Caenorhabditis elegans: one gene and its partner. The protein of the gene in region 2 binds, or shares a complex with, the protein of the main gene of each other region. Each region holds a gene or a part of one and is shown on either strand. Other genes may lie near its edges.

Region 1 (14,063 bases), about 13 Mb from region 2:
TTTTTTAAAAATTAAAATTTCCAATTGTGTAGACTCCGAAATTTTCCATTTTTACTTCCGAAATGTAGGTTTTTTTTTTGGAAAAAGTATATTACCAGCACAGAGTGCAGGTAGTTGAAGAGACACAGACATCCCGCGCCCCGTCCCTTGGGTCCCGGGATGTCTGTGTCTCTTCAACTATCTACATTCTCTGTACCGGCAGTAGTAAAAAATATTTGTCGAGAATTTCAAAATTTTTGAGAAAATATTATTTTTTTGGCCAAAAAATCTTAGTTTTTACAATTTTCAATCCTTCCAGCACCAGCATATGTGCTCGAATGGACGATTAATCATGATAGACCCCGCCATCATCGCATACTTTCCTCGATAGCTCGACCAGAAACTCCAAATACTCCGAGAATGGAGATTGTAATGATTCCGAACATCAATGATCCTTCCACCACCGGCCTGGTTGAACGTCCCAATGGAGATTTATCAGAAGATGAGCAAGAGCTTTCAGATGCTCTAGAGGAACCTCAGGAATCACCGTCAACATCAACAGAATCCCAAGTATCGGAAGACGAAGAGCCATGTTGTTCGACGGACCCTGCTTCAACCACGTCACGTCGCCGACGTATACGTTCCCCGAAATCCGAGAGCGCCAAAAAACCGCGAAAATGTAAGTTTAAAGGTTTGAAAAAACTGGAAATTCTTAAAATGCGTATTGCACAACATATTTGACGCGCAAAATATCTCGTAGCGAAAACTACAGTATCTCTTTAAATGACTACAGTAGCGCTTGTGTCGATTTACGAACTCGATTTCTGAAATGAATTTATTTTTTTCCTTTTTTTCTTCGTATTATTCCCTCTTTTTTCTTCTTTTTTAAAAATATTCTATCGATGCCCGTAAATCGACACAAGCGCTACAGTAGTCATTTAAAAAGAATTACTGTAGTTTTCGCTGCGAGATATTTTGCGCGTCAAATATGTTGTGCAATACGCATTTTCAGAATTTTGTGCTCCTCTAACGAATCAAACTTTTTTTTCAGCATCGAGTCCCCCGCTAGACGATTATTTGAAAGAAATGGCAGTTCGCCAAAATCACGAACAGGTGAGAATCGGGGGGTGTCACGTGGTGCCAAGCTGTCCCATTACGGTTTGGTCTACAAAAAAAGGCGGGATTTTTTCGCCTTAAAATAATGTGACGTCAGCACGTTCTTAACCATGCGAAATCAGTTGAGAACTCTGAGTCTCTTCTCCCGCATTTTTTGTAGATCTACGTAGATCAAGCCGAAATAAGACACTTTGACACACAAAAATAGCTTACTATTTTGTCCATTTTTCTTCTTTTCGGTATGAAAAACAAAATTTGTTGGAATTTTTAAACTGTTTGTTAATATTCTAAAAATTATAAAAAAACAATTTTTCGACAGTCTTTTTGAAAAATATCTAAAAATTTTTTAATATTTTAACGGATTTATTGTTTAAATTTTGAGTCAAAAATTACGGTATCCCCGGGGTCTCGCCACGAAAGTTAAATGCGTAAAAGGTGTGCGCCTTTGAAGAGAGTACTGTACTTTCAAACTTTCGTTGCCACGGTTTTTATTAAAATATGTTTTTTATCGTATTATTCGAGTTTATTCGAAAAAAAACTTTTTGTTTGAAATTACAGTACTCAAAAAAATTTTAAAAATTTGTCGTGTCGAGACCCCGGGTATTGTATTTTTGGCGCCAAAACTTCAAAAAAACAAAATTCGGTGTTTGCGTACTTTCGAGGATACCGTACCCCTCGAAATTTCAAATTCGAGCAAGAAACTTCTAGTTTTCGGTTTTCCGACTGAAATTTTGCGAGGAATTCGAACTTTGAATTGAAACTATGAAATTTTGCTTTCATAAAAGAGTTTTCAGCTCGAAATTAGAAATTTTTCCAGCGCGCCATCCACCTTCGCCAACGTAGAAATCTGGAAATCGCCGGTGCCGACGGTGTCTATCAGCGAATAATCGATGAGCTTCCACTTCCACCGACGCTCAAAGACTATGTTCGATTGGTGCAACACGAGGTTGTGCTCAAGTAGAGAAAAAAATACCGAAATTTCAGTGTTTTTGAGAAATTTTGAAAAAAAAATTGCCTAATTTTCTGAATTGTAACTCATTTTTCTCGATTTTTCCTGTATTTTTAATATCTAATTCTGGTTTTTTTGCACTTTGCCAATTTTTTGTTGTTGAATTTTTTCTGAAAAATCTGAAATTTTTGGCTGAAAAGCTGAAAAAGAAGCTTTTTTTTATGTCTAGCATTTCGTTTAAAAATGAGAAATAATTATTATTTGACTGGAAAAAAGTGATTGTTTTAATTTGTGGAAAAATAAAATTAAATTTAAAAAAAGAAAACGAGAAAAGCAGAATTTTCGCTCCTTTTTCCATGAGATTTCTTTAGTTCAGATAGTTGTATCGACTGCCGGACCACCGTATGACATCTTTTCACGGATGAATGTTCTGGAAAAAAAATGAGTTTTTTTAGGAGAAAATTGGATAACTTTTCAAAATTTTTTTAAATCGTATAAAAATTGATTTTTATTGGAATTTTTTAAAATTAAAATATTAAAAACTACCATTCGTTTGAAAGTTTTTTGAAAAATTTTTAAATCAGTTTTTTCCAATAAAAATCAATGTTTAATACGGTGTTTTTTAAAAAAATTTTTTAAACAAAAAAAATCGCTACCCTGTGAATCGGCTATCCTGATTGACTAAAAGATGTAGATCACGAGTTGTTACACGTACTGTTCGTGGACGAGGTGCTGTCGTTGCGGCGCCCGTGTTTTCCCATCTGAAATTTAAATTTTCAATGTAAAAAAGCGGTATTTTGGTAGAAACTAGCTCGTTTTATCAACAAAAACAAATTGTAAAAAATGAATTTTTTGAAATTGGTTTTCGAAATTTATTTTAAATTGAACCGAAATTAGTTTATCAACTGGAAATTGCAAAAAAATGCACATTTAATAATTTTCCAACAATTTTCAGTAAAAATTTCAAAAAATTTCTTCAAAAAGTGAATTTAGTGGAAGCAATTTAAAAAAAAAGAAAATTATTGGAAAATGTTGTTTTTTTCAACAAAAAAGTGTATTTGTCTAATTTTTTAGAAATTATTTTTTCCCTAATTTTGGAAAAAAATGAATTAATTTTTAATCAAGTTTTAAAAAAACCTTTTTTTTCGAAAAGAGAATTTCTAAATTAAAAAAAAACTAATTTTCAACAAATGACAGTTTCATTACTGGAAGGAGCTGCAAATTTTTTATTTTCATATAAATTTTTATTTCTATATAAATTTTTTCGAAATGTGAAATAAATTTCAAATTTCTCCAAAGAAATTTAGTTTATTCCTGGAAATTATTGGAAAATGTGGTTTTTTTTTCAAAGTCACTAGAAATTTAAATTTTTTTTTAAAATACGTTTTTTTGCCGAAAAGATGTTCATTTGTTTTTCGTTCATTTTTTTCTGTGATTATAAGTCACTGAAATTCAAAAATTATAGTTCTAAAAAATTCTAAAAATTATTTAAAAATCGATTTTTTTTTTCAAAAATTTTTCTCAAAACGTAAAAAATTAATTTTTTGTAAGTGTTCAGCTTTTCTCTAACAATAAATCCAAATTTCGAAAATTTCTTTTTTTTTCTATTTCTTTCGAATTTTTAGTATTTTTAAAGCAAATTTTGTTCAAATTGATTGTATCTTGATTTTAGGCTTAAAATACCGAATAGTTCAACGAAATTTCTGGAAAAATTAATTTTTTGTTGCTTTTTTTCCAGATTTTAAAATTTTTTTCAATTTTTTCAGTGATTTTAGTAATTTTTTTAAACTTCTACAAAAAAATATATATAAAAACCAATTAATGTCGAAAATATTCTTATTTTTTAAACATTTTTCCTTTCAGCTTCTATTTTCACTTTTTCGTAATTTTTTTTGCGAATTTCGCACTAAAAACGAATTTATTCTTGAAAGTTTTATTACTGGAAAGTACTGTTTTTTTTTTTAAATTAAGAACCACAAGAAATTGATTTTATCTAAATTTTAGGGTTAAAATCTTGATCGTTTTAACGAAATTTCTGGAAAAAAACTTTTTTTTCGCTATTTTTCTGAATTTTCTATTTTTTTCATTTTTTTTCAGTGATTTTAAATAGTAATTTTTTAATTGAAAATTTTTATTCTAAAAATTTTTTTTTGTGAAATACAAATTCGAAAAAAACGAAATTTTTTTCCATTTTTTAGAAATTAGTTATTGATTTATTTTATTTTTTCATCGATTTTGCAGCATTGTAAAACAATTTTTTCTGAATAATTTTTTTTTGCTTATTTCTAAATCCAAATCTCAGAAACAAAGGTGTCGGTTTTTCAGTTTTTTAATCGAAAAACGAAACTTTCATTTTTCGAATTTTTGAAAACCGAAAAATCGAAAAATGACACCCTTGGTCAGGAAATTGTTTTTTTTAAATCTATTTTTTAAAAATAATTTTTCTGCAAATTTCACGCTAAAAACGAACTTATTCTTGACAGTTTTATTACTGGAAAGTGCTGCAATTGCAGCCGCATTCGCATCTCGATTCCTTTTCGCTTCAGCATCTTGTCGTTGCATTTCTTTCGCTTTTTCAATCGTCTCTTTTCCACTATTCTTATTCTTGCTCATTCGAATTAGCGACTCTTTTTCTCGACTTTCCCTTAATTCTTCCTCTTGACGATCCAAATCTTCAAGGAATCGAAGTTGCCGTTTGACGTCATCAATTGCCACGTAGTTCTCCGGAATTCTGGAATCTTTTGTAGTGTTTAGGATGGAAAATTCGGATTTTTCACAAAAAATTGTTAGGAAAAAAGCCATTTTTTTATGCTTGCTTCGTGTCGATTTACGGCAGCTCTCCATTTTTTAAAAAAATTTATTCGTGCTTTTTTAAGTTTTTTTTTTTTTTTTTTGCGCGTTTCTTTTATTTTGTCGCTTTTTTGTCAGTTTTTTTTCTGAAATTTTTAAAATATTTTTTTTATATCTCAAAACTCCCGGAATTTTATATTTTTACGTCAGATCTCGACGAACACAGGAGTTTTGACCTAAAAAATTTTCAAATTGACACAAAACAAAATTTCAGGAAAAAAAATGACAAAAAATCGACGAAGATCAAGGAAACTCGTTGAAAAACTGAAAAAAAAAGCTTAAAAGAAATTTAAAAATGAAGAGCTCCCGTAAATCGACACGAAGCAAGTGCGCCCCAATGAGAATTTATCTGGGCGCGCATTTGAAAAATCTCATGGTGTGCATGCACAAAGCGATTTCAAGCTGAAATATAAAGGGAAATTTTTTTTTTGAATTTTTTCGAATAGATATTCGGAATCAGGGGAAAATTGGAGATATTTTTGAAAATATTTCTCAGATTTTTATATTTTTTTGAAAAAAAATTACCGCGTTTCAGCAATGTTTTTTGTTTGGATTTTAAAACAAAATCTAGATGTTTTTTTAATAAATAGTTCGGAACCTTTGAAATTTAAAAATCTTTTTTTTTAATGTAAAATTGTTTTTAAGACGATTTTTCTTCAATAATTTCCTTATTTTTGCTTAATTTTTTTTTCGCTGCCGTATTTTGAAGCAAAATCAATTCTCCTCAATACCTCAAACTCTCCACCCGATGTTCTGCAACTCCGGCCATCAGTGTAATAAGTTCCCTTAAATGCGACTCAACAGCATCTGAAATCGCGACAAGCGCCTCCTCTTCCACCGAACACGATGACATCATTCGTTTCGTGATCCTATTCAGCACCTCATCCGGCTTCAGAATCGACGATTTCAGCGATCCTTCAGGATATTGCCTCGTGGCCGTGGCCGCCGCGGTAGGCTGTAAATTCTCTTCCACCTCCATTTCTACAGGGGGAGCCGGGTGCTGCTGTTGAATCTGCTGTGGTGGGGGAGGAGGATGCATCTGGACCATCTGATGTCCCATCGGCCCTCGTACGGGGCCTTGTAGGCCCATTGGGCTTGGGCCGCCGGGGCCCATAGGCCTGATCATTGGCCGGGCGCCTACAGATACCATATGGGGACCCCCTTGAACCATTTGTGGGGGTATTTGATTCGGATTCGGAATTTGACGCATTTCTAGTGGTGGCTGCTGCTGGGATTGTTGTTGAGGTGGAGGTGGCTGAGGGGGTCCTGGGGTTCTTCCATTGTTGAAAACGTAGCCAGGCGGTGGATTTACGCCTTCAACTGATGCAGTGCCTGGAAATTTGAAAATTAGGGAAAATAGTCCAAAATTGAGGAAAAAAAAAGATTTTTAATCTAGAAAATAGGTAAAAATCCTCATAAATTGCCTGGAAATGCGCCTCAAAATCGAATTTTTGAGCTGAATGTTGAGAAAATCTATAAACATTTTAAAAACTTTAAATTGCAATTTTTCAGCTGAAAATAGCCCTGAATTATGAAAATTGCGTGAAAATTGCGAGAAAATTTGCGGAAATAGCTCTAAATAAAGGGAAGTTTTTAAATAATTGTTTTGCTCAATTTCGTGGAACTCGGATAAATTACCAAAATATACTCCGGAAAAATTGAAAAAGTGCGATAAACTTGATAATTTTTGCTTTCAAAAATAGAATTTTAAAGAAATTTACTGGAAATAGACAAAAAATGTGGAAATTTTAAATTTTAAGCTAAAAAAATTGGTGAAAATCTTAATAAATTGCCTGGAAATGCGCTTGAAAATCGAATTTTTGAGCTGAAATTTGAGAAAATCTATAAAAATTTTAAAAACTTTAAATTACAATTTTTCAGCTGAAAATAGCCCTAAATTATGAAAATGGGTGAAAATCCTTATAAATTGGCTGAAAATCAGGAATTTGCTCAAAATTGTGAGAAAAATTGCGGAAAATCCATATATTACTGACAGCTGAAAATATTTTTAAATAAAGGGAAATTTTTAATTTTTTTTGCTCAATTTTGTGGAACTCGGATATATTATGACAATATACTCCGGAAAATGGAATTTCAAAGCCGAAAAATTGAAAAAATCACCAAAAACAGCTTGAAATTGTTAGAAACTTGATAATTTTCGCTATCAAAAATGGAATTTTAAAGAAATTGACTAGAAATAGCCAAAAAATTTGGAAATTTTGAATTTTTTTCATGGAATTTCTACACAATTTCTTGAAAAATGTAATTCAACGGATTTTTTGCAATTTTTTATGTTAAATTCAAGTTTTTCGCTGCTTTTCAACTCAAATTTTCCTGTTTTTCGATGATTTTTTTTTTGTCGATTTTAATTTTTTTGCACATAAAACCGAACCATTTCGAACAGCATTCCTCAATGCCGGAAGAGTATTCTGAAGGAATGGTAAAAGATGCGGTTGAGCCTGAGATTTGAGCACTTGTTGCAGATTTCGTGTAAACTCTTCAGCCGTCGTTTCCAGATAAATTACGCCCTGAAATATCCGAATTTGTCCGGTTTTTATCGCGTTTTTCGCTCAATTCCTCACTCGAATTAGCTCTTTGACACGGGCGGCCTTGTCCGGCATTTCTGGATCATCGTTATTCGACAGATTAATTAAAGTTTTCAGAAAGCGGACGCATTTTGTCACGTTTTTGTCATCTGAAGCAGCGGCGGCCGCCGCTGCAGAGTTTTGTGGAGTCCCGGGCGGCCCTTGTGGAGCCATTGGCGATGGTGACTGAAAATGCTGCATCTGCTGTTGTATAGGTTGACGAGGCGGCTGCATTTGATGGTTTTGAGCCTCTGAAAATTGGGATTCAAATTTTTTTTCTAACTTTTTTAAATTTTTAAATATTTACGGGGTGCTTCCACGGGTTCCGGAGCCATTTGATGAGCATCTTGGTAGTCGACTTCCTGCTTTATTTGCGGAGGGGCCTGGAATCAAAGGAATAAATTATTGTTAGTTCTTTTTGTTGTTGTAGAAATTTTGAAATAAAAAAAAACAATTACCGGCTCTGGTGTGCTGACTCCTGGCGTTGATCGCTCGCCGATCGCCTTTCCCTGAACGAGTCGAAATCTGGGAAGACTCATGTGTGCTGAAAATGATATTTCTCTCTCAGAAATGTGACAAGGTTTTGAGTTTTCGTGTCGATAATTTCGACGCCATAAAAGAAGAGTTCATACAAAATCGATAATTCCCAGGGTTCAACAGTGTGTTTCCTTGCTATTCCTCCCCACTTTCTTTTGTTTTATTCACATTTTCACATTAAATAGCTAAATTTCCGCAAAATTAGCGGAAAACCCCCTCCGCAACACAGTTTCATTTGAAAATTTACCGGAAAATAGCGGAAAATGGTCGCCTTTTATACTGCCAAGAGTGACCGTACTTTCGGTCGTGGCGAGACCCATGCCGCATGTTTGGAGGGGTGCGTTGCGGCTCGCGTCGCGGTCGCCCGCATTTTCAACTGCGGGAATTTGCGAGATTTGAACGCGATTCTAGTCTAGCTTGCGGTGATTTTTCAATTTTTTAATGATTTTTCAGCGTAAGAACTTTTGAGTTTAGTGGAAATATTGATTTTTGTGATATCACACTCTGAAATACCCAAATTTTCAGTCAATGTATTGTTACATTTCGAAATTTTTATTCAATCTAGTAACAAGCCTACACTTTATCATCGCTAAATAGGATTCTCCATTGTATAGCAGTTCATTCGAATTCCATTTCAAAATTATTGTAAAATGTAGGGGTTTTCTTCTCTAGAATATCCTCCAAAGTTCAACGTGATGTATTGCTGAAATATTTCTTCATCCTAACATGTTCGTTAGAGTCTTCTGTGCGAGGCTTTTCTTTTGATAATGTTTTTTTGATCTGGAAGGTTCCATATTTCGTTCTTTTCCTACTTTTGTCATCTATTTGACCTTCCTTTCATTCAACCTTCCTTTGATAGTTGTATTCTCGTGATTCTCATTCCATTCTTGCGTTCACATGACTGACCCTTTTTATTTATAATTTGTTTTCAGAATGGGTATTAAAGGCGACAAAAAAGCTACCAGCGATCAAGCGCGACTTGCACGACTCACACTGGAAGGAAATTCCGGAAATGAGGAGGACATACAGTTTATGATCAAGACGGTAAGTCTCCAAGCTGGAAATGACGCTTTCCTGAAAATAGTGATCTTTGCATCACGCGAACGCTCGCCACACACCGACATGATGACGCACGTGACTTTGTTGTTTTGAACTTCTCTAGTGTCCGCTTTCAGTGTCAATAGGAATTTCGAATCGATAAGACGGGGCCAGATGGCAAATAAAAGGACAAAAGCAGGTGTCCGCGCTTGAGATGGTGCAGCGAGAGTAAGAGTACCCAGATGTCCTACTCATTTGGGCTAATTAAAGTGTTCGCGCATTCCCAAGAGGGGTTTTTTCACTGCTCATGTCTTTTTCATTTTCAGATTATCGAAACCACCGGATGTACACAAGCACAAGCTGAGATAGCGCTATTGGATACTGACAACAATCTTTACGGCGCAATCGATCACATTCTGGATGCTGGAGATAAACTTGACTCGTGGACTGAACAGAAAGGAGCCAAAAAGGAAAAGAAGAAGCCGGAAGAGGGCAGTTATAACAACAGAGGATTTGTAGCAAGAGGCAGAGGTTCGTGCTTGATTGAAATAGATCAAATATTGATATGTTTTTTTCAGGTGGAGGCACCGGTTTCGTCGATCGAGGAGGCCGCGGGCGATCCAATGGAGCTCCAAGAGAAAGCCGAGATAATAATCGGGATAACCGTGATAATAAGGAAGGAGCAGCACCACGCTCGACTCGAGGAGGATTTGAAAAACCGTATGTTGGACGAGGTGGAAGAGGTGGCGCCAGAGGTGGATATTCTCGAGCTGTTGCTCCATCATCAGCACTTGAGCCAGATGCGTTCACTGCTGATCTTGATGAGGTAAGAATTTTTTGAAGAAGGAAAATGACGAAACGTGTTTTTTTTTCAGAATCAGACTAAAGTGGATACCACAGTCACCGAAGTTCAACCACCAGTAGAGGAATCCGTCACCGCCACTGTTCCCACATCTTCTGCGCCGGCACCGATCTCATTTGCTGCAGTAGCAGCAGCTGCCCATCGCAAAGAAGCACTCCGAAAGCACCAGGCACAGAATCCTCAACCAGCAGCTCCGCCAAGGAGGAGTCTCTCCCCACAACCTCCACTTCCGTCAGTTGCACCAGTTAAAGAAGAGCCAGCAGCAGCGCCAGTATTTTTCGAGCCAGAAACTTCGCATCAGCCGGAGAAAGAAGATGGTTTCTTCCAAAAGTAAGTTGTTCTGTCCCTGTATTTAGATTATTAAAAATTTAATTTTCAGTGAATCATCAGTTTTGGCTGAGGAGCAGACGCCTAATGTGTCGACTCATCACGATGAAAATGTACAAAGCACCCCAGAACCAAATCAAGCATGGACCACTCAACTGAAGACGGATCTTGGAATAGGATTGAGTGAAGCACCAGGACTAGGATTATCTCCAATTCCAAGTGCAGCACCAGTCCAGATTATTCCTGATCCTGGAGTGGAATTTGTTGGCACAACTGCACCAACGAACATTCATGACTACTCATTTGGATTTGTTGAGGCTGCTCCAAGCCCACAGCTTCCTTCTACTGAATCCTCCGCTGCCTCGATCTCAAATGCCAGTGAAAATATATTTAACTCTTCTCGTATTATGCCGAAACAAGTTGAGGTGAGTTAAATTTGTTGCAAAGACGATTTATTCTAATTCTCGATTATTTTTCAGCCAGAAAGGACGTCAATTCCTAACGGCGATTACAACTTAAAATCGACTTCACCTCCATTGTCATATGGTCAATCTAACAGAGGATTGTCCTATGACACTTCGTCCGCTTCATATCAACCAACGGACAGGATGGCGCCGAACAAGTTCAACAATTCTGGACCACTTCCAACACAGCAATCTGCTCAGCAGCACCAGCCACAGCAGCAGCAGCAACAAGCCCCACAACAGCCAGTGCAGCAGCAGCAACAAACTCCACCAGCTCAATCACAACCGACTGGACATCCACAACAGCATCCACATATGATGTTCACTCAACAACTCCCATATGCACCATACATGAACAACTACATGAACATGTACAATCCAATGCCAGGAGTTCGAGATGAGCAATATACTGCTGCTCTTATGCAATACGGAATGGGAGTTGATCTTACAAGCTTGCTTCCAACTGCTCCTCTGTCACAGGCTGCTTCTGCGCAACAAGTGCAATCTGGTCAACAACGAGAGACTCATGGACTTATGGACTTCAATAAGTTCGGATCTCAAAGCTCTCGGGATCAGCAGCCACAGCAGGCGTCGAATGTTGGACCACCACCAGGGTTCCAGGCGACGAACTACATGCAGCAGCCAAACTTGTCGTCGTTGTTCATGCAGCAGTACTCACCTGCTCCACACCAGTTTACTCCATTCATGAACATGATGCCCAATGTTGGAAGCAGCGCTGGAGGTCGTCAACTCTACGGACAGGATGACGAGCGCAAGAGTTACGACAAGATGTCTGGATCGAAGCCGGCAGCTCAGCAGAATCAACATTCTCAATACCAACACAATGGTGGAAATCTTGGAAAATATGGCATGAATAAGCCGTACAACTGGAGTAACTAACCGGTTTTCGAAAGTTCTCAGTCAGCGACTTTGCTCCCCCTCCCTCTCCCCTCTAAATAATAAAATGATCTGTTTTATTTTCACATGTTCTTTATTTTCTACGGATTTCCAAATAAATGTACCTGATGTCTAGGTGTATCTATAAATATGCCTCCTCATCGGGCTTTCAGCGTAATGTCATGTGCACTTGTAATCGGGGCAACGTCCACACTGGGTAAAGCCGTCGTGAGAAGACTCGCGTTCACCGGCTACAAGGTCGCCGCCGCCGCAGACTGTCCGAATAGTGTGGGAAAGGTTGCAGAGGACAATATAAAGGTTTAGGCAGATTTTCAGAACTTGACAAAGAGAAATTCGGGAATAAATTCAGGTTGGAGGTGACGTCACAGCTTTCTCATTAGACGTGGCAAATGCCGAGCACAGGAAGGAGCTGATCACGAAAGTGGCTGAGAAGCTCGGCGGTCTGGACACTTTAATTATAGTTCCACCACAGAATGAGGTGCTCGGCGAGATTATTGAGACATCCGGCGAGGATTTTGATAAGGTTCGAGAGTGCTGAAATTTGAATTCCACGTGGAAAATTGACCTCGAAAAACCAATTTCAGCTTTTCGCCAACAATCTGACAACACCGTTCCGTCTTTCGCAAGCCGCTATGTCGACGCTCGCCAAATCTCAGTCAGTTTTTGGGTCTCGCCGCGAAAATTTCAGATATTATTTTTTGCTGGTAGAAATTCGAAAAATTCAAACTGTCTTGAAAGCCTATTTTACCGATAGAATCAAAATTATGTTTCTAGATTTTCGTGCCTGACTCATGCCTGCCTACCTAAACCACGAAAAAAGGGAAAAATAGGTAGATAGGCAAGTAGGCATGAAATCGTGCCTACCCTAGAGATCATGCAACTTGAAAAAATTGTAGTAAAACAAAAAAAGGATTTTCAAGAATGTTAATTTTTTGCTCACAAAAATGCCGAGAATAGGCGGTAGGTAGGTAGGCACGTAGGCATGAAGTCGGTGCCTACCCTAGAAATCACAAAATTTGGAAAAAAAATTCAGAAAACAAAAATAATAGTGTTTTCATAAATATGATTTTTTGCACGAGAAAAAATGCCGAAAATAGGAGGTAGGTAGGTAGGTACGGTAGGCATGGAGTCGTGCCTACCCAAAAAAATCGTAGAAAACAGGAGAAAAAGCTAATTTGATCTCTTTTTGCTCACAAAAAATGCCGAAAATAGGCGGTAGGTAGGTAGGCACAGTAGGTGGGAAGTCGTGCCTATCCGAAAAATCTTGAAATTTGGAAAAAATCGTAGAAAAACGAAAAGAAAAAAGCTAATTTGATTTTGTTTTGCACACAAAAAATGCCAAAAATAGGCGGTAGGCAGATAGGCGCGGTCTGCATTAAAAATCATTGAATTTTGAAAAAAAAAGCATTCCCATGAATTTTAATTTTTCACACAAAAAAATTTCAAAAAAACAGGCGGTAGGCAGGCATGTATTCGTGCCTACCTGCCTACCTAGAAATCATGGAATTCTAAAAAAATATCAAATGTTAGGCCGGTAGATAGGCACGTAGGCATGAAGTCGTGCCTACCCTAGAAATCATGAAATTCCCAAAAAACGGCAAAAAAATAGAACAACAAAAAAAAAATGAAAAATAGGCTAAAATAGGCCGGCAGGTAGGCACGTAGGCAGGCAAAATTTCCCGTCCAAAAAAAATCGATTTTTTCCAGAAACGGCAGTATCATCTACCTAACGTCATGTTTCGGCTTCACTCCATCAATCGATATGGGTCTCTACTCAGTTGCATCTAGCAGTGTCCTATCACTTACAAAATCCGTAGCTCAGAGTGCCGCGAAACAAGGAGTCCGCGTGAATAGTGTGGTGTCTGGAATGATTGAAGGAGACGGAACTGGTGCTGTATGGGATCATGCTTCTGGAGAAGAAGCTCGTCAGATTAAACAACACTTGGAATCGATGATTCCGTTGGGAAGACTTGGAAGACCGTCTGATGTTGCTTCTTATGTCGAATTTTTGGCTTCTACCAAAGCCAGGTAGAATTTTCTGCAAAATAAGAATTTGGAGAATTTGGAAAAAAATCCAAAAATTTGGAATCAAAAATCAAAAAACACTCAAATTTACGAAAATTTAAAGGATTAAAAAATTAAATTAAAAATTGTTTTCAAATAATCAAATTCTCTTTTCTGAATGAAAAAAATTTCAAATTCGAATTTGTAAAAAAAAAATTCAAAAATTATCGAAAAAATCGATTTTTTTCAATTAAAATTTGAAAAAAAAAACGAATTTTTATCGATTAGGAGTATAATATCTGAAATATTATTTAAAAATATAAATTTTAAAGATTTAAATATAAAAACTTGGAGAAAAAATCTGGAAGCAAGCAGAAATCTGTCGAAAAACTAAAAAATTCCTCTTTTTTAAGGAAAAAATCTCAGAAATTCTT
Region 2 (10,915 bases):
TATAGCTACTATGTAATCATCATTTACTATATATAAAGCGCTTATTCTGTGTGTCCATAGTTTGTAGTCTTTGTAGTCTGTGAGGTTTTGGCTTCTGGAGGGATAGCGAGTTAGGGTTAGTGTAGGGATATAGTCGGGGTACTGTAGTGGTACAATAGTGGTACGGTAAGAATACTGTAGGGTTACGGTAGTTTCATAAAAAATTAATTTTCAGCCCCAGAAGTCGGGGGCCGCGCCGAAGGTGCGGTCCACGGCTGGTATAATATAATATAATACGGCTATACTTAACTACAACCTAGTTACCGGCATTAATAATGACTATTATAATCACTATACTCAATTAACTAACGTAATTAATCACTATAGCTAGCTATGACAACCTATAATATATTTATATATCTATGTCATGCTCATTATGATTTTATGTGCATGTTTCTCATATGTATTTGATTTTTATATCTATTTTCCAATTACGATATTTAAATCGTATACTAAAAATATATACCACGCAATCAACTATGAATATTATAACCATCATAGGTTCTACTTTACTATACTTGACTATTACTATTTTATATTATATGTATTACACTATTGCTTAAATATAACATAATTAACTACTATGTAAATAATGTATTAAGTACGTTATACCTAATTAAATAACGTAAGTATTTACTATTACTATAACGACTAAAAAAAATTAATTAATAGGTATACTATTCTTAACTAAAACGTAATTAACTATGACAATCCGTTATAGGTTCTATTTAATACATTGCACTCGATTACAACATAATTAATTATAACTGTTACAACAACTAATTTAAATTATACTTATTATACTTGTACCTTATTATAACGTAATTAACTACTATAACTATTATGCCTACTGTGTATATAATATATTATACATGTTATACTTAGATATTAAAAAAAAAAAGATTAAAGGACGATCCGTTCTTCAAGTGCTATGCACTGTGGATCTGGGTTTCAGGTACACTGCCTGGTGGTGATCCCTCTGGGCTGTAATTTAAGCCACGTCCTAGCCGGGGACTGTGGCCGATAATCCAGTCGTGGATTGCTCAATTTAATTTTTTAATTTAAATTATACTTATTATACTTGTACTTAATTATAACGTAATTAACTACTATAACTATTATGCCTACTGTGTATATAATATATTATACATGTTATACTTAGATATAACGATATAACGTAATTAATTACTATGACTATAACGACTACCATACATATATATATATATATATATATATATATATATATATATATATATTTATATGCTTACAATACTTAACTACAACGTAACTAAATATAACTGTTACAACTATTATAATTAATTAACTATTGCAATTACTTACTATATAATTATCATAACTACTACGTATATAATGTATTACTATGTATGTTATACCTAATTACTATGACTATAACACCTATTATATAAATTTGTATGTATTATAACTGACTATAACTATTCTGCCTACAACTTATATTAAGTCTTATCCTAAATTATAACGCAGCTCTAACATTCCTCAATTTCCAACATTTTATACCTGAAACCGCATAGGCTGCCAATGCCTGACAATTCTCCTGGTAAAAGGTGTCCGATGCCAATATCTCAGTCTAAACGCCGACGGGTGTGTCGGGAAGAAGTGTGTGGCAATGTTGGTGGCAGGCGTCGAATGTTGAATGAGCAAAGAGTTATTGGATAGAGTTTTCGAAGTGGCTTTGGGTACATAGTAATCATCATTCGACAGATTAAATGGATCATTATCAGTGAATTGGGCCATCGTACTCTCCATTTGTTCGTCTTCTTCTTGTTTTTGCCGCTGTTGTACTTGTCCCAGTATCATTTTCGACTTTTTCGTGTATTGACCGTCTTTTCTGTGATGATGATGATGATGATGATGATCGGGTCCTTCATCGTGTCTCCGATCTTCTGGCATTCCATAAATCAGAGGATCATCTTGGAAATCTACGAGAAAATCGATTGGTTCAAGTGTTGAAGGCATCGCGTCGGCATCCCAAATGATGTTAGTTTCCCATGGAAGAATATCGAGGTCACATGGAGCAGAGGGGAATATCGAGTGACCGGGTGTTGGAAGAATTGCCGAATCTGGGCCTGTTAGGTTGATCGGGGCGGATTTTCCGTCGAACATTTGCTCGAATGCGTTGTTGTTGGCTGGAAAATTAGAAAATTAGCAATTTTATTCAATTTCAGGTGCGAAATTTGCGAATATTATTTTGATTTCAGGTCCAAATTATAAGGATTTCTAGGATTTAAAGTTGGTGTAGTCGATTTCTTTTTAAAAATTGCTTTATTAGACTCAACATTGTCTGAAAACACCGAATTTCATAATGAAACTTCTTGAAAACTTTTCAAAAAAAAAAGTTATGGCGGCACGAAAAATGGCCTAAAATTAGTGAAATTTGAAATTTGACCAACTTATGATTGTCGCAGCGGCTGGAAACAATTTTTTTTTAAATTGTCGTCTACTTTTGGATATTTAAGTAAATTATCGTGCGCTTTCAACACGGTTCAGGTATTTTAAAGTCGATGAGATTTTTCAATTTTTTTCACCAAATCTCTTCGTCCATCGACTTTAAAATACCTAAACCGTGTTGAAAGCACACGATAAATAACTTGCATACCCAAAATTAGACGACAATTTCAAAAAAAAATTGTTTCCAGCCGCTGCGACAATGATAAGTTGGTCAAATTTCAAGTTTTCACTAATTTTAGACCATTTTTCGAGCCGCCATAACTTTTTTTGGAAAGTTTTCAAAAAGTTTCATTATGAAATTCGATGTTTTCAGACAATTCTGAGTCTAATAAAGAAATTTTTAAAAAATTCGACAGCACCACCTTTAAAGTCTGAAATTTGTGAATTTATTCAGTACAAATTACGTACATTTCTTGAATTTTAGGTTCAGATTTCCTGAAATTGTCCAATTTGAAGCCCAGAATTTGCGATTTTTGAAACTTTCAAGTACGAATTTTTTAATTTTTTTTGTTTTGGTGAAAATTGAGAATTTCGTACAAATTTTGATAATTTCGGGTCGAAATTGTTCTTTTTTTACAAATTGGAGAATTTTCAACGCGTTTTGGCAATTTTTTTGCAAAAATTGACATTTTTACAAAAATTTCGGCATTTTTTAGTCAAAATGGATCATTTTAAAAGATTTTTGGCATATTTTTTTGAACTGTGGCAATTTTAATAGAAAATTGATGAATTCTCACGAATTTCAGCAATTTTTCGGTCAAAATTGGTCATTTTTCATAAGTTTTGGCAATTTTGACAAATATTTGCCAATTTCAAGTCAAAATTACTATTTTCCACAATTTTCTATGCTAAAATTGAAATTTTCATCAAAATTTGGCGATTTTGGGCCAAAATTCGTAATTTTATCCAAATTTTAACATTCTTAGGTCAAAATTTTGCCGTTTTCACGAATTTTGCACTTTTTTTCACATTTTCATCCATACCAGCATATACAAAATGCTCATAAGTTCTCGTATACTGTGTGGGAATCCATCCACAACCTCTTCCATTCGAAAATTCTTCCAAAAGTTGATCTTTAACTTCTTCTCCATCTAATATCACATCATTTTCCCATTCAATTACTTGATATGGTAATAGAATATCTTCTGATGTTGAAGCTTCACAACTTTTATCAATTACTTCCACTTTATCCAAGAAAGGGGCGGAGTTTGGGGCGGGGCCTGATGACGTGGATGGTAGATCATCCGGGGTACGGTAATTGAGCGGTTTTCCACTTCGAATTGATACTTTTTGAGGAGATTTCTGAAATTGTTAAAAAATTAATTGAAAATTAAAGTTTCGAGAGGAAGTTTTTGAAATTTTGAGGAATTCAGCAATTTTTTCCGATTTTTCTACAAAAAAAAACTATAGAAATTAGTGGAAAACGATAAAATTTGATTATAAAATTGACAAAATGAGATGAAATTGTCTAAGATGACCGAAAATTGTCTGAAAACTCATGAAATGCTGTTTAAGCCGTGAAAATAACCGGAAAATTGTCGGAATTGAGCTGGAAATTATATTTTTCAGGAATTTTTAGTTAAAAATTATCAAAAATTGACTGAAAATCACGTTTTTCAACTAAAAATATATTGTTGAGTGAGGCTCACACTACAAACTACAACATTTTCTAGCCTCAACCAATTTTGGTTGAGGCTCACACTACAAACTACAACTTTTTTAGCCTCAACCAATTTAAGGTGAGGCTCACACTACAAACTACAACATTTTCTAGCCTCAACCAATTTTGGGTGAGGCTCACACTACAAACTACAACATTTTCTAGCCTCAACCAATTTAAAGTTCTCAATTTTGGTTGAGGCTCACACTACAAACTACAACTTTTTAGCCTCAACCAATTTAAAATTCTCAATTTTGGTTGAGGCTCATACTACAAACTACAACTTTTTAGCCTCAACCAATTTAAAATTCTCAATTTTGGTTGAGGCTCATACTACAAACTACGAAATTTTCTAGCTTCAACCAAATTTTTTTGAGCAAACTGTGTCAAATTTGCGCTTTTTTGGTAATTTTTTCAGATTTTTAGTGCGATTTTTAGGGTTTTTTTTATTGAAAACTTCAATTTTTGGCGAATTTCAGCCATTTTTCAGCCATTTTCAGTGTATTTTTTACCAGGAAACTTTAATTTTGATCATTTTTAGCCAATTTCAGCCATTTTTAAGTCAGTTTTTCAAAGGAAATTCCATTTTTTTGAGCAATTTTCAGCCGATTTTCTGCAAATTTTCATTATTTTTACCTTCAGTTTGAATCCATAATTAACAGCTTGACTAGTCATCGGCAAATTCATCATATCATACCAAATCTTGGCGGGACCCGTTCTCCACGGCTGAACTACCGTACCCTCTTCATTTTTCTTTGCCATTTCCTCTGCATCCGTCAGTATCGGTCTCCGCATTCGTTCTTCTTCATCGTCAGCCAACATGACACGTGGCACCTTCTCAATGATGTTAAGCTTCAGCTTTTTGGCTCCAACGATGACGTCATCAGCGAGGGGCTCTTCGGGCTCTTTTTTGCGTTGATGTTTGGAGAAGGTTCGGGAAGCCCACCAGATCTCGGCACGGGACGTATGTTTGATATTTTGAGCAAAAAGTCGAGAGAAACGAAGAGTTTTGTTTGGATTGAAGTCTTTGAAGAAGATTCTGAAAATAAAATTAAAGGATTTTGCGGAAAAATGGGGGTTTTCAGTGATTTGCGTGAATTTTTGGCGAATTTTCGGAATTTTTTTGGAAATTTTAACAGAGAATTATGGAATTCTAGAAGAAATTAGCAGTTTTTAGCAATTTTACATCAAAATTTCGAGTTTTTCGGCGAGAAAAACCAGTTTTCAGGGGAAAAATGACGGGTTTCAACCATTTTTTTTGGAATTTTTGCAGAAATTGGCCAATTTTCAGGCTTTTTTTGGCTTTTTTGGCTCGAAAAAAAGGTTTAACAATTTTAAAGCAAATTTTCGAGTTTTACATGAGATTTCTGATGGCTAGGAAAACCATGGGTTTGTGTGGAAAAATTGTGGGTTTTTTCGGGGAAAAGTGACACGGGTTTCAACGATTTTTGAGTGAATTTTTGAGTTTTTTAAAGGAATTTTTGCAGAAATTGCCAATTTTCGGGTTTTTTGACTTAAAAATTGTGTATTTGTGTGTTTTTATGAAACTTCATTGGAAAACTGACTTTTGGAGCAAAATTCGAATTTCAATTTTCAATTTTCGAATAAAACAAAACCCAACATTTCAGTGAAAATTCGATTTTTCCAACAAAAATCGTCACTTTTATTCGATTTTTGCGCGAAATTCGAATTTCGGCAAATGTTTGCCAATTTTTTGAAATAATGGCGCTTTTCATGCTTAAAAAAAGTGAAAATTTGTTTTTTCCAACGAAATTAGAATTTCTATCAATTTTTCGAGAAAAAAAAATGAAAATTTTACTGAATATTCGATTTATTCAACAAAAATTGAAAAAAAAATCGTCACTTTTACTCGATTTTTTTTCGAAAAATTTTGAAAAAAAAATCCCATTTTACGATTTTTTGTCGAAATTTTTGATTTTTCCAGCAAAAACTCTTTCCAAATCGACTTTTGGCGGGAAATTCAAAAAATTTCAGTTTTCAATTTCAAGGGCAAGCAAATTTTGCGGAATTTTAAAAGAAAATTATGGAATTTTGGAAGAAACAGCACGTTTTGAGCATTTTTGGAATACTTTATTCAAAAAATGTCATTTTCGAGCAATTTTCAGAGTTTTTAAAATAGATTTTCCGAAGAAAATTCGAATTTTCGGGTGATTTTATAAAAAAGTTTGTAAAAATGGAAAAAAAAATAAAGTTTTTAGAGAAAAATGAAATTTTTTTTAATGTTATTAAATTAAAATTTGTCAATTTTTATACCACACACATCTCATACTACACATTACAGGATTCGGCAGGAAATGAAATTTTTTGTCAAATTTCCCAATTTTCAGTGATTTTTGATAGAATTTTTGAGTTTTTCGTGGAAATTTCCGGTAAAAAACGTCAATTTCAACAGAAATTTGTGGTTTTCAGTACCTCGGATCAATTCCATCAAGATCCGGATGTAAAATAGATGAAAGTGGTGCATCATCTCGAAGTGATGGTCTTGCAAATGGTTCCATATCTTCTAATCGTACAGGATCACCAATATATTCTTCAAATTCTTCATTTTTTTCCACTTTTGGCTCCATTTTCACACTTTTAGAGCCGCCATTAGAAGCTGACGAACATGCTGAAAAAATGAAAAAAATGAAAAATTAGTGAAATTCCAAAGTTTTTTTTTTCGATTTTCGCTACCTTCATTCCGTGCTGCCGGATGATTTTTGTAGAAATCCGAGAGATTAGCGTAAGGATCCTCTAGATCTTCTTCATTTTTTGGCTTTTCCGTTCGATACCCATTTGTGTGATGATGTGTATTGTTCATTACTGGAAAAAATTACAATAAAAAATTTTGAAAAATATTTTAAAAACCTGGAGATTCACGAATTTTTCAAGAAATTTTCACGAAAAAATTGAATATTTTCTGAATTTTCTGCTCAAAGTTGCTCGATTTTGAGTTTTAGAGATTTTGAATTTTGAAAATTCATGAGTTCTGTCTATTGATATTCTTTAGAAAATTTTCAGAGAAAAAAAAGAAAACGGAAATTTTGAAAAATTCGAAAAAAAAACCATTAATTTAGTCTCAAAATTGAATTTTTATTTAATTTGAATTTGAAAATCGATAAAATTTCCATTTTTCCGAATAAACAATGAATCAAAATTGTGCAAATTAAGAAGAAAACACCAAAAAATGCACAGACTACAAACTACAACATTTTCTAGCCTCAACCAACTTTTGGTGAGACTAAAAACTTGTAGAAAATTGGAAAAAATTACGATAATAACTTTAAAAATAATTCTAAAAACCTGATGATTCACGAATTTTTAAATTTTTTCACGGAAAAAATGGATTTTCTGCTCAAAATTGCTCGATTTTGAGTGAAAAATGGATTTGGTTGAGGCTCACACTACAAAAACTACAACTTTTTCAGCCTCACCAAAGGTTGGGCGAGGCTAGAAAATGTTGTAGTTTTTGTAGTGTGAGCCTCAACCAACTCCGGAAAAACTAATTTTTTGGGGAAAGTTCTCAGTTTTTTGAATGAAACTCGAATTTTAATTATTATTTCTTCAAATTTGATTGATTTTCGCATAAAAATTAGACTTTTCAAGAAAAAAAATGAAATTTACAATCATTTCGCTGAAAAATTTAATTTTTCACCGGGAAAATTCATTTTTCGACTAAAAATGTTATGAAAATCTAATTTTTTCAAAGTTTTTCGGCAAAAAGTTGAGTTTTTTCTGACTTTTCGGCTTAAAATTGCTCGAAAAATGCATTTGGTTGAGGCCGACACTACAAACTACAACTTTTTAAGCCTCACCAAAAGTTGAGTGAGGCTAGAAAATTGTGTAGTTTGTAGTGTGAGCAACCAAGTGCGGAAAAAATCTTTTTTTTGTGGAAAATTCAGAATTTTTGGAATTGAAACTCGAATTTTAATTATGATTTTGTGGAATTTATTGGATTTTGGCATTAAAAAATGAAATTTTTGAAGAAAAATTCATGAAATTTGCAATTTTTAGCAGAATTTCTGACTGAAAATTCAAAATTTCGCTTGAAAATTCAATTTTTCGACTGAAAATTGAATTTAGCGACTAAAAATGTGATGAAAATAAGTTTTTTCCAAATTTTTACAGCAAAATTAGAGTTTTTGAATAAAAATTGTTTTTTTCTAAATTTTTCTTCGAATTTTCACTTTTTATTCGGTTTTTACCGATTTTTAAAACAAAATTTCTGTTAAACGTTGGTTTATGTGAAAAAACGTTTAAAAATTGAATTTTCAGCTAAAAAATAGAAAAACTATTAAAAAAAAAAATATTCAAGTGCAAAATTACACTTTTTCGAGGATTTCCCCCCGAAAAAACCGGAAAAGAATAGCGAAAATAGGAAAGTGAGAAATTCATTTCAAATTATGGGAAAAAAATGACAAAATTATGGAAAATGATTCAATTTTTTCAACAAAAAAAAAGATTCAATTAAATTGATTGATTATCTGAGAAAATTCGAGAGAAAAAACAATGAAAAATGGGCAAAAATACAAGCGAAAAATGGGAATTTTACCCGAAAATTGACACGAAAATGGGGGGGGGGGGGGGGGGGGGGGGGGGGGAAATGGGGATTTATTAGGGTTAAACATGGTAAAAATTGACTAAAAATTCAATTTTTGGGGGAAAAATTCAGATTTCTATGAATTTTTACCCAAAAAACTCGATTTTTTTCACAGAAAATTAGAATTTTCCACTGAAAATCAGCTCTACATCCTCTGTTGCTGCAGTTGTCCCATCAATTGTCCGAGTTCAGGGCTTGATTGGAGCCCCGAGACGTCTGTAGACATATCCTGAAGATATTCGAATTCTGCCAACGCCGAACGCTCGTTTTTGCCGAATCTGGAATAAAAATGGGTTACAATTGACTAAATTTGAATAAAAATTGGAATTTTCCGCCTAAAAATAGCTATTTTCCACCGAAAAACTAGGAAAAATCATGAAAAATATGCGAAAACCCATAGAAAATTCGTCCTTTTATACGCAATTTGAGCGGCGGACGGCTTCGCGGGTTCCGCCAATCACCATGTTTTGCGTGGTAAAAGGGGCGAGTGATTTTAGCGGAAAATTGTTGAAAATTGAATAAAAATAACAGTTTTATCCAATTTTTAAGCAATTTTCTTCTGAAAAAAGCAAAATTCTCCGTATTTTTTGGGTTTTTTCCACAGAAAATAGCAATATTCTTCGTTTTTAGAGGTTTTCACTAAAAAATGATGAAAATTGATTAAAAATAACAGTTTTATCCAATTTTTAAGCAATTTTCTTCTGAAAAAAGCAAAATTCTCCGTATTTTTTGGGTTTTTTCCACAGAAAATAGCAATATTCTTCGTTTTTAGAGGTTTTCACTAAAAAATGATGAAAATTGATTAAAAATAACAGTTTTATCCAATTTTTAAGCAATTTTCTTCTGAAAAAAGCAAAATTCTCCGTATTTTTTGGGTTTTTTCCACAGAAAATAGCAATATTCTTCGTTTTTAGAGGTTTTCACTAAAAAATGATGAAAATTGATTAAAAATAACAGTTTTATCCAATTTTTAAGCAATTTTCTTCTGAAAAAAGCAAAATTCTCCGTATTTTTTGGGTTTTTTCCACAGAAAATAGCAATATTCTTCGTTTTTAGAGGTTTTCACTAAAAAATGATGAAAATTGATTAAAAATAACAGTTTTATCCAATTTTTAAGCAATTTTCTTCTGAAAAAAGCAAAATTCTCCGTATTTTTTGGGTTTTTTCCACAGAAAATAGCAATATTCTTCGTTTTTAGAGGTTTTCACTAAAAAATGATGAAAATTGATTAAAAATAACAGTTTTATCCAATTTTTAAGCAATTTTCTTCTGGAAAAAGCAAAATTCTCGGTTTTTTTTTGGGTTTTTTCCACTGAAAATAGTAATTTTCTTCGTTTTTAGAGGTTTTTTTTTCACTAAAAAGTGGCGAAAATTGAAGATTCCCGCACCTTTTATAGTGTTTATCGTGAATTTTCGTTCTCGGCGGATTATATTTGACGAGACCGCCCTTTTTCTTCAATTGTCTCTCGATTAGGCTTAGTCGTTCCTCTTCCGAACTATCTGATGAGCCACCGTCATCGTCTGGATTGATGGAATTTCGCTGAAAAATTGAATAAAAATGATTGGAATTTCAAGTTTTTTCCGTTAAAATTGCTTGATTTTGAGTGGAAAATGCATTTGGTTGAGGCTCACACACTACAAACTACAAGGTTTCTAGCCTCATCAAAAGTTGGGTGAGGCTAGAAAATGTTGTCGTTTGTAGTATTTCAACATTATTATCATAAAAATTAACAATTTCCGTTTCTTTTCAGCTGAAAAATCACAATTTTGTCACTTTTCTATTCATTTTCAAATAAAATTACAAAGAAAAAAGGCTTTTTCTCTCAATTTTCGTGCAGAAACACAAAAGAAACACAAATGAAGTGAAAAAATGGCAAAATTGTGATTTTTCAGCTGAAAATATACGGAAATTGTTAATTTTTAGGGTAATAAAGTCAAAAATTGACTGCAAATCGCGTATTTCTGCCAAAAATACGTGTTTGGTTGAGGCTCACACTTCAAACTACAACTTGTCAAGCCTCACCAAAAGCTGGGTGAGGCTAGAAAATGTTGTAGTTTGTAGTGTGAGCCTCAACCAGCCGGAAAAGTTCATTTTTCTCTGCAATTTTAAACGGAAAATCGAAAATTTA

The links.
Region 1: taf-1 (region 2) and taf-4 share a complex: the UniProt entries of both Caenorhabditis elegans proteins name them as parts of the TFIID basal transcription factor complex.

The regions. Positions count from the first base shown.
Region 1 is NC_003279.8:376,788-390,850, reverse strand, and holds taf-4 (Transcription initiation factor TFIID subunit 4), read right to left. Parts: upstream 8,026-14,063; 5' UTR 8,019-8,025; coding exon 7,938-8,018; intron 7,863-7,937; coding exon 7,787-7,862; intron 7,731-7,786; coding exon 7,477-7,730; intron 7,423-7,476; coding exon 7,287-7,422; intron 6,227-7,286; coding exon 5,626-6,226; intron 4,776-5,625; coding exon 4,515-4,775; intron 2,806-4,514; coding exon 2,701-2,805; intron 2,475-2,700; coding exon 2,417-2,474; 3' UTR 2,287-2,416; downstream 1-2,286. Other genes in the region: R119.5 (Protein-L-isoaspartate O-methyltransferase domain-containing protein 1), read left to right, coding at 299-658, 1,031-1,092, 1,913-2,056; Prion-like (glutamine/asparagine-rich) domain bearing protein pqn-59, read left to right, coding at 8,950-9,060, 9,381-9,585, 9,633-9,880, 9,930-10,246, 10,296-10,668, 10,723-11,607; R119.3 (DeHydrogenases, Short chain), read left to right, coding at 11,782-11,922, 11,975-12,148, 12,210-12,280, 13,333-13,653. UniProt on the Caenorhabditis elegans protein: The TFIID basal transcription factor complex plays a major role in the initiation of RNA polymerase II (Pol II)-dependent transcription.
Region 2 is NC_003279.8:13,857,568-13,868,482, reverse strand, and holds the start of taf-1 (Transcription initiation factor TFIID subunit 1), read right to left. Parts: upstream 7,010-10,915; 5' UTR 7,008-7,009; coding exon 6,881-7,007; intron 6,816-6,880; coding exon 6,620-6,815; intron 5,226-6,619; coding exon 4,823-5,225; intron 3,829-4,822; coding exon 3,510-3,828; intron 2,205-3,509; coding exon 1,576-2,204; intron 1-1,575. Other genes in the region: W04A8.6 (ANK_REP_REGION domain-containing protein), read right to left, coding at 8,932-9,064, 10,175-10,326. UniProt on the Caenorhabditis elegans protein: The TFIID basal transcription factor complex plays a major role in the initiation of RNA polymerase II (Pol II)-dependent transcription.